Linked DNA regions of Anolis sagrei. The protein of the gene in region 2 purifies or fractionates together with the protein of the main gene of each other region. This does not show direct contact. Links are inferred from orthologs where the notes say so. Each region holds a gene or a part of one and is shown on either strand. Other genes may lie near its edges.

Evidence for each region. The genes of interacting proteins can lie anywhere in the genome.
Region 1: the proteins of KIF22 (region 2) and KPNA4 purify together in Homo sapiens (affinity purification with mass spectrometry; 3 studies listed by BioGRID and IntAct, counting the BioPlex papers as one, with this or other methods). This does not show direct contact. The link is inferred for Anolis sagrei from reciprocal best matches to the Homo sapiens genes KIF22 and KPNA4.

Annotation. Positions count from the first base shown.
Region 1 is NC_090023.1:246,816,049-246,819,797, forward strand, and holds the start of KPNA4 (importin subunit alpha-3), read right to left. Parts: upstream 2,157-3,749; 5' UTR 1,917-2,156; coding exon 1,848-1,916; intron 1-1,847. UniProt on the Homo sapiens protein: Functions in nuclear protein import as an adapter protein for nuclear receptor KPNB1. Binds specifically and directly to substrates containing either a simple or bipartite NLS motif.
Region 2 is NC_090026.1:17,135,673-17,139,421, reverse strand, and holds the start of KIF22 (kinesin-like protein KIF22), read right to left. Parts: upstream 2,653-3,749; 5' UTR 2,511-2,652; intron 1-2,510. UniProt on the Homo sapiens protein: Kinesin family member that is involved in spindle formation and the movements of chromosomes during mitosis and meiosis. Binds to microtubules and to DNA. Plays a role in congression of laterally attached chromosomes in NDC80-depleted cells.

The DNA.
Region 1 (3,749 bases), on a different chromosome or scaffold from region 2:
AGGCGAAACGTCAGGAGAAATGCCTCTAGAACATGGCTCTATGGCCCGAAAAAACCCACAAGAACCTAACTTCCTGACTGTGAGAGCCGTTCAGCAGTGGAACTCTCTGCTGCGGAGTGTGGTGGAGGCTCCTTCTTTGGAAGCTTTTAAACAGAGGCTGGATGGCCATCTGTCAAGGGTGATTTGAATGCAATATTCCTGCTTCTTGGCAAAATGGGGTTGGACTGGATGGCCCATGAGGTCTCTTCCAACTCTTTGATTCTATGATTCTATGAACGTTACATTTTTATTTATATAGATTATTATTATTATTATCTCAGGTCTGGGCAAACTTCGGCCCTCAGAGTGTTTTGGACTCATAAGCGACTGAGAGGGAAAAGGAAAGGGCCTGAGGCTGTTAGGAATGGTGGGAGTTGATCTGTTAATCCCACAAACGAATGGGGGGACGATGCCTGGCTCGAGAGCAGTATGAGGAGCGGCTGGAATATTGTGTCCAATTCTGGGCACCACAACTCAAGAGAGATATTGACAAGCTGGAATGTGTCCAGAGGAGGGAGACTAAAATGATCAAGGGTCTGGAGAACAAGCCTATGAGGAGTGGCTTAAGGAGTTGGGCATGTTTCGCATGAAGAAGAGAAGGCTGAGAGGGGATATGATAGCCATGTATAAATATGTGAGAGGAAGCCACAGGGAGGAGGGAGCAAGCTTGTTTTCTGCTTCCTTGGAGACTAGGATGCGGAACAATGGCTTCAAACTACAAGAAAGGAGATTCCATCTGAACATGAGGAAGAACTTCCTGTCTGTGAGAGCCGTTCAGCAGTGGAACTCTCTGCCCCAGAGTGTGGTGGAGGCTCCTTCTTTGGAAGCTTTTAAACAGAGGCTGGATGGCCATCTGTCAGGGGTGCTTTGAATGCAATATTCCTGCTTCTTAGCAGAATGGGGTTGGACTGGATGGCCCATGAGGTCTTTTCCAACTCTTTGAGTCTATAAGTAGTTTCTACTATAAGAACCGTTAAGCAGTGAAATAGATTGCCTCAGAAAGTGGTGGACTCTTTCTATTTGGAATAATTAAATCATAGGATCTTACAATTGGAAGGGACCACAAGGGCTATGCCAGTGCAACTCACTGCTGTGCAAGAATACATAACTATAGTGTGCCTAAAAGATGGCCATACCACCTCTGCTTAAAGACACCTGAAGATGAAAAGTCCATTGCTCTCCAAAGCAGCCTGTTTCCCTGTTGAACAGCTCTCATAATCACGAAGTTATTTCTAAAATTTAGGTAGAATTTCTTTCTTGGCAGAATGGGGTTGGACTGGATGGCCCATGAGTTCTCTTCGAACTCTGATTCTATGAACGTTACATTTTTATTTATATAATTATAATTACTATTATTATCTCAGGTCTGGGCAAACTTCGGCCCTCAGAGTGTTTTGGACTCATAAGCGGCTGAGAGGGAAAAGGAAAGGTCCTGAGGCTGTTAGGAATGGTGGGAGTTGAAGTCCAAAACACTCTCGGGGGCCGAAGTTTGCCCAAGCCTGCTCTCTCTGATATTATGAATCACAAGGCGATTCGAAGAGATATGAAAAAGGGAAGCAGGAAAGCGGCGGCGTCGTCACTGCGCGCGGAGGCCTAGGCCGCGGCCTCGCAGGCGAATCCCAGCGGGCCCCACCCTCCCTCTGGCGGCGGAGGAGGAGGAAGAAGGACGAGGCCGGCCGGCGGGTGAGGGAAACCAGGCCCCGCCGCGGATTATAAAGCCACAGGCCCTCACCAAGCAAGCAAGCCAAGCCCTCTCTCTTAACCCCCTCCTTCCCTCCTTCCCTCAGGAGAGAGCGGCGCTACTCTACCTCCAGGTCGCGGCCTTTGTTCTTGAAGTTCTTCAGCCGTTGGTTGTCCGCCTTTTCGTTGTCGGCCATGGCGGCAGGAAGGTAGGGAGCGAGGCCTTCCTCCCTCCCCGGCCGGGCCCCCGCTTCTCCTTCTCTGTCGTCGCCTTGCTTCGAAGGGGCCTTGAGGAGGCCTTGAGGCCTATCTTCGCCTCTTCCGCCTCTGGTGCCGGTAGAGCGAGAGAGAGGAAGGAAGGAAGGAAGGGAAGGAAGGAAGGGAAGCAGCGGCCCAGCCTCGCGCGCAGTCAGGCGCCCCTAGCCACGCCCCCTTGCCCCTTAGCCCCGCCTCTTCCCGCCCACAGCGCGCTCTGATTGGGCAGCGCTCCGTGATGGAGAGGGGCGAAGGGAGGGAGAGGTGCGCGTGAGCCGAGAGGGGGCGGGGCCTAAAGGGACTTCCTCTTCAGCCCGTCTCAGGCGATAGGCCTGGGCCGCCATTTTGGGCCAGTCGCCAAGGAGACCTCCTCGAAAGCTGCGCTCCCGTCTCGTTTAGGAAGGAAGGCCGGCCTTGTCCAACACCTACTCTCAGGAAGGTGGGATACGTACAGTTTAGTATAGTGTACCTCAGGCATGAGCTAACTTGGGCCCTCCAGGTGTTTTGGACTTCAACTCCCACAATTCCGGTAGGGTGTTCTACACTATAGAATTAATGCTATGGTATTCTTGTCTCCTGTGCTATGCTAATGTTATAATATAGTGTAATAAAATATATTGTATATGCATGTGCCGTTACGCCCAGACGCTTTAAAATAAAACTTTGACGTGCTGCTATCTATGTCTGGGCGAAACTGCTGGGGTCTTTTTTTGGGCAGATTGAGCTTTCTTGAATAACTGAGTCCACTTCAAGAAACATTAAACAGGGTATTTATTCACGAAGTCCTGGTAGACTTGGCTCAGCTTATCAATATTACAAAACAATCAATGAGTAATAAACTCAATCTATATTAACAATCAAGGTGAAAGAAGAAAGCGCAAAAGCTGGGTTGCAGCGAAACAAAAAAAACCAAGATTATGGCAACAAGAATGATTCACAACTGGAAAATAGAGGGAGAAAATGTGGAGGCCGTGACAGACTTTGTATTTCTAGGCGCAAAGATTACTGCAGATGCAGAGTGCAGCCAGGAAATCAGGAGACGCTTACTTCTTGGGAGGAGATCAATGTCCAGTCTCGATAAAATCGTAAAGAGCAGAGACATCAGACTGGCAACAAAGATCCGCCTAGTCAAAGCCATGGTATTCCCTGTAGTAACCTACGGATGTGAGAGCTGGACCTTAGGGAAGGCTGAGCGAAGGAAGATCGATGCTTTTGAGCTGTGGTGTTGGAGGAAAGTGCTGAGAGTGCCTTGGACTGCGAGAAGATCCAACCAGTCCATCCTCCAGGAAATAAAGCCCGGCTGCTCACTGGAGGGAAGGATACTAAAGACAAAGTTGAAGTACTTTGGCCGCATCATGAGGAGACAGCAAAGCCTAGAGAAGACAATTATGCTGGGGAAAGTGGAAGGCAAAAGGAAGAGGGGCCGACCAAGGGCAAGAAGGATGGATGGCATCCTTGAAGTGACTAGACTGACCTTGAAGGAGCTGGGGGTGGTGACGGCCGACAGGGAGCTCTGGCGTGGGCTGGTCCATGAGGTCACAAAGAGTCGGAGACAGATGACTGAACGAATGAACAACAACAACAACAATGTGTGAAAAAGATCTTGGAGTCCTCATGGACAACAAGTTAAACATGAACCAACAATGTGATGTGGCGGCAAAAAAAGCCAATCGGATTTTGACCTGCATCAATAGGAGTATAGTGTCTAGATCTAGGGAAGTAATGCTACTCCTCTATTGTGCCTTGTTTAGACCACACCTGCAATATTGTGTCCA
Region 2 (3,749 bases):
CCCCTGCCACGCATTGCTGTGGCTCAGTCTGTGTATATGTGCTTTGTGTGTGTGTATATATTTGTGTAATAATAATAATAATAATAATACTTTATTTGTACCCCGCTACCATCTCCCCAAGGGACTCAGTGTGGCTTACATGAGGCCAAGCCCACAGCACATCAATAAACAAAAGCAATAACAAATAATCAATACAAACAGTTGAAATAAAACTCAAAAACAAAAAAACACACAATAAGCAATTGTGTATATATGTGTGTTTGTGTATATATGTGGTTTTGTGCATGAATTGAAATGTATTTTTTTATTTTGTTGGCTTTTTAAGTCTCTTCTGCTGTGTTTTTTTTTTAGTGTTTTTATGCGTGATGGTCACTCGTTGGCCTGAGAGATGTATTGTGTCCAAAATTGGTGTCAATTCGTCCAGTGGTTTTTGAGTTATTATTATTATTATTATTATTATTATTATTAACTTTATTTGTACCCCGCTAGCATCTCCCGGAGGACTCGATGCGGCTTACACAGGCCGAAGCCTCAAAACACAATACAATAGAGAATGTAACATCACAACAACAAAGCAAATCAAACAATAAGCAAAATAACATAACACTAGGCAATACTAAGCAATACTAAGCAAATCAAACAATAAGCAAAATAACAACAGTGGCAGTACATCAAGACATTATTAAAAACTGGATCGGCCGGCGCACTGTTATGTAAAAAAGTTATGTTAATCCCACAAACGAACAGAGCATTTTTATTTATATAGATTACATGTAATCTTACTAAAAATATTCCAATATAATGGTATAGTACAATATAGTAATATTGAATACTGATATTGTACTATGCTAATAATATAATATATTGTATGTATATATATCTTGTAAGCCGCTCTGAGTCCCCTTCGGAGTGAGAAGGGTGGCATATAAATGTTGTAAATAAATAAATCGTCAACGACTTAAATCTAGAAATAGTTTTCTAAGTTCTACAGAGACACTCACTGGAACACCTCAGCAAGTGAGAGTCCAAAAGTGGCAGGCTCAAACCCAGAACCTCAACCAATGGCTGACACCAAATGAGAGACTCCCCCCTGGGAACACAGAAAACTGGGCGACTTGGAAGGCACTGAACAGACTGCGCCCTGGCACCACAAGATGCAGAGCCAACCTCAAGAAATGGGGCTACAGGGTGGAATCCACGACATGCGAGTGTGGAGGAGAGCAAACTACAGACCACCTGCTGCAATGCAACCTGAGCCCTGCCACATGCACAATGGAGGACCTTCTTGCAGCAACACCAGAAGCACTCCAAGTGGCCAGATACTGATCAAAGGAGATTGAATCAACTATCAAACTCACAAATTTTGTATTTTGTCTGTTTGTTTGCTTTGTTCTGTTAGAAATGTAATATAATTGACTGGTTGCCCTGACACGACAAATATTTATTATTTATTATTATTTATTTACCTTACTTATATACCGCTGTTCTCAGCCCGAAGGCGACTCACAGCGGTTCACAACAAATACAAACAGCGAAAATTCAGTGCTACAGTATAGAAACAGTAACAACCTAACACATTACACAATTAATAAACAGTTACTACAATACCCATTCACTGTCGTCTCGTCATCAAAAACATGTTCCAGATTCGTCATCCATTGTTCCATTCCAGTGTTCATTAACCAATCATTGCACTAATTATTCGAACACCTGCTCAAACAGCCAGGTCTTCACTTTTTTTGCGGAATACCATTAGAGATGGTGCTAGTCTAATGTCTGTAGGAAGGGCGTTCCACAGCCGAGGAGCCACCACCGAGAAGGCCCTATCTCTCGTCCCCGCCAGCCATGATTGAGAAGCAGGCCCTGCTCTCGATCCCGCCTGCTTCTCAAGCATGGCTGGCGGGGACGAGAGATAGGGCCTTCTCGGTGGTGGCTCCTCGGCTATGGAACGCCCTTCCTACGGACATTAGACTAGTACCATCTCTAATGGTATTCCGCAAAAAAGTGAAGACCTGGTGGGTTCATAGGCAGAGATGCGGTTGGATAGGTAGCTTGGGCCGGGACCGTTTAGGGCTTTATTTATCTTGTCAGCTGCTCTGAGTCCCCTTTGGGGTGAGAAGGGCGGCATATAAATGTTGTAAATAAATACATTTCTCTAGAACTCCATAACTTCTAATTTCCAAAACACATCTCTCCAAACACATCTCTTCAAACATACAAAGTAGAGAGAGTCTGAGTGCAAAGATGAAATGCAGAAGACTTCAGCAAAGGCATGCAACCTGAAGAGTATCAATTCTACACCACCAATCAGGATGGGAGCAGAAAAAGATAGAGAGAGAACAGAAAGATACAATCCAACTGCCTTTCAGGAGTCAGGGGGGAAGCCTATTCTAAAACTAACTGTTCCTCATTGAGGACTGCAGACTTGGGCAGTGTGGGGGTTGAATTCCAACACTGCCAATCAGGAGAAAGGCCTACCCGCCTCCTCTCTCCCACTCAGAAGGAAATACCTGTGATTCCAAACAAAACAGATGGCGCAGGAAGATCCTCTCACAATAGATAGGCCGCACTGTTCCCTCTTTAACTCTGAGCCGATTCCTTCCTTACACAAAAATGGATTCAGGAAATCGTTTGGAATTCGCGCTAGTCCCGCCCTAAAGAAAAAACCGGCCAATGGGAGGAAGGCACGGGAAACAGCCGTTAGCCAACACGCCTGCGCAGTGTGAAGACAGAGCACGGAGGGAAGTACCGCGCACGCGCACTACTTCCGAAGGCTCTTCCGAGGCACTGTATACGAAATGTTGTGGAGGAGTGGTTCACAAGACGGATAGCGCATGCGCAGAAGGAAAGAAGCGAGTCGTGCGTGTTTCAAATCTAGCGCATGCGCCATCGCGAAGGAGGGTCGGCTCTTGAGTTCGATTGGGTTCTCTCGTCGAGAAGGAGCCATCGATTGTTTCGGGGCTCGGCTTTTGTGGGCTGGATGGTTGGTTGTTTGGAAGCAAGGGATCTGTGATGCCCAAGTAGACTCTGATCATGTGCAGAGTGCTTCTAAAGAAACCCTAAAAGGACAGAAGGGATGCAGCCGTGTTAAGCAATTAAGCCTTCCCAGGGGTTGATTTCAGACAGGAAAGTAACTTCCACAACACAGTGAAGTGGCTCACTCCCAGGTAAGTGTGGCTGCCAGTAGAGATGTCCTGATGGTTTCCATTGAAGCAGGTGTGTTTCAGTTACCTGGATTGTGCTCAGAATTAAGCTTTCATAGAATCCTAGAGTTGGAAGGGACCTCATGGGCCATCCAGTCCAACTCCCTGCCAAAAAGCAGGAATATTGCATTCAAATCACCCCTGACAGATGGCCATCCAGCCTCTGTTTAAAAGCCTCCAAAGAAGGAGCCTCCACCACACTCCGGGGCAGAGAGTTCCACTGCTGAACAGCTCTCACAGTCAGGAAGTTCTTCCTCATGTTCAGATGGAATCTCCTTTCTTGTAGTTTGAAGCCATTGTTGCACTGTGCCGTAGTCTCCAGAAAACAAGCTTACTCCCTCCTCTCTATGACTTCCTCTCACATATTTATACATGGCTATCATGTCTCCTCTCAGCCTTCTCTTTTTCAGGCTAAACATGCCCAGCTTCTTAAGCCGCTCCTCATAGGGCTTGTTCTCCAGACCCTTGATCATTTTAGTCGCCCTCCTCTGGACACATTCCAGCTTGTCAATATCTCTCTTGAATTGTGGTGCCCAGAATTGGACA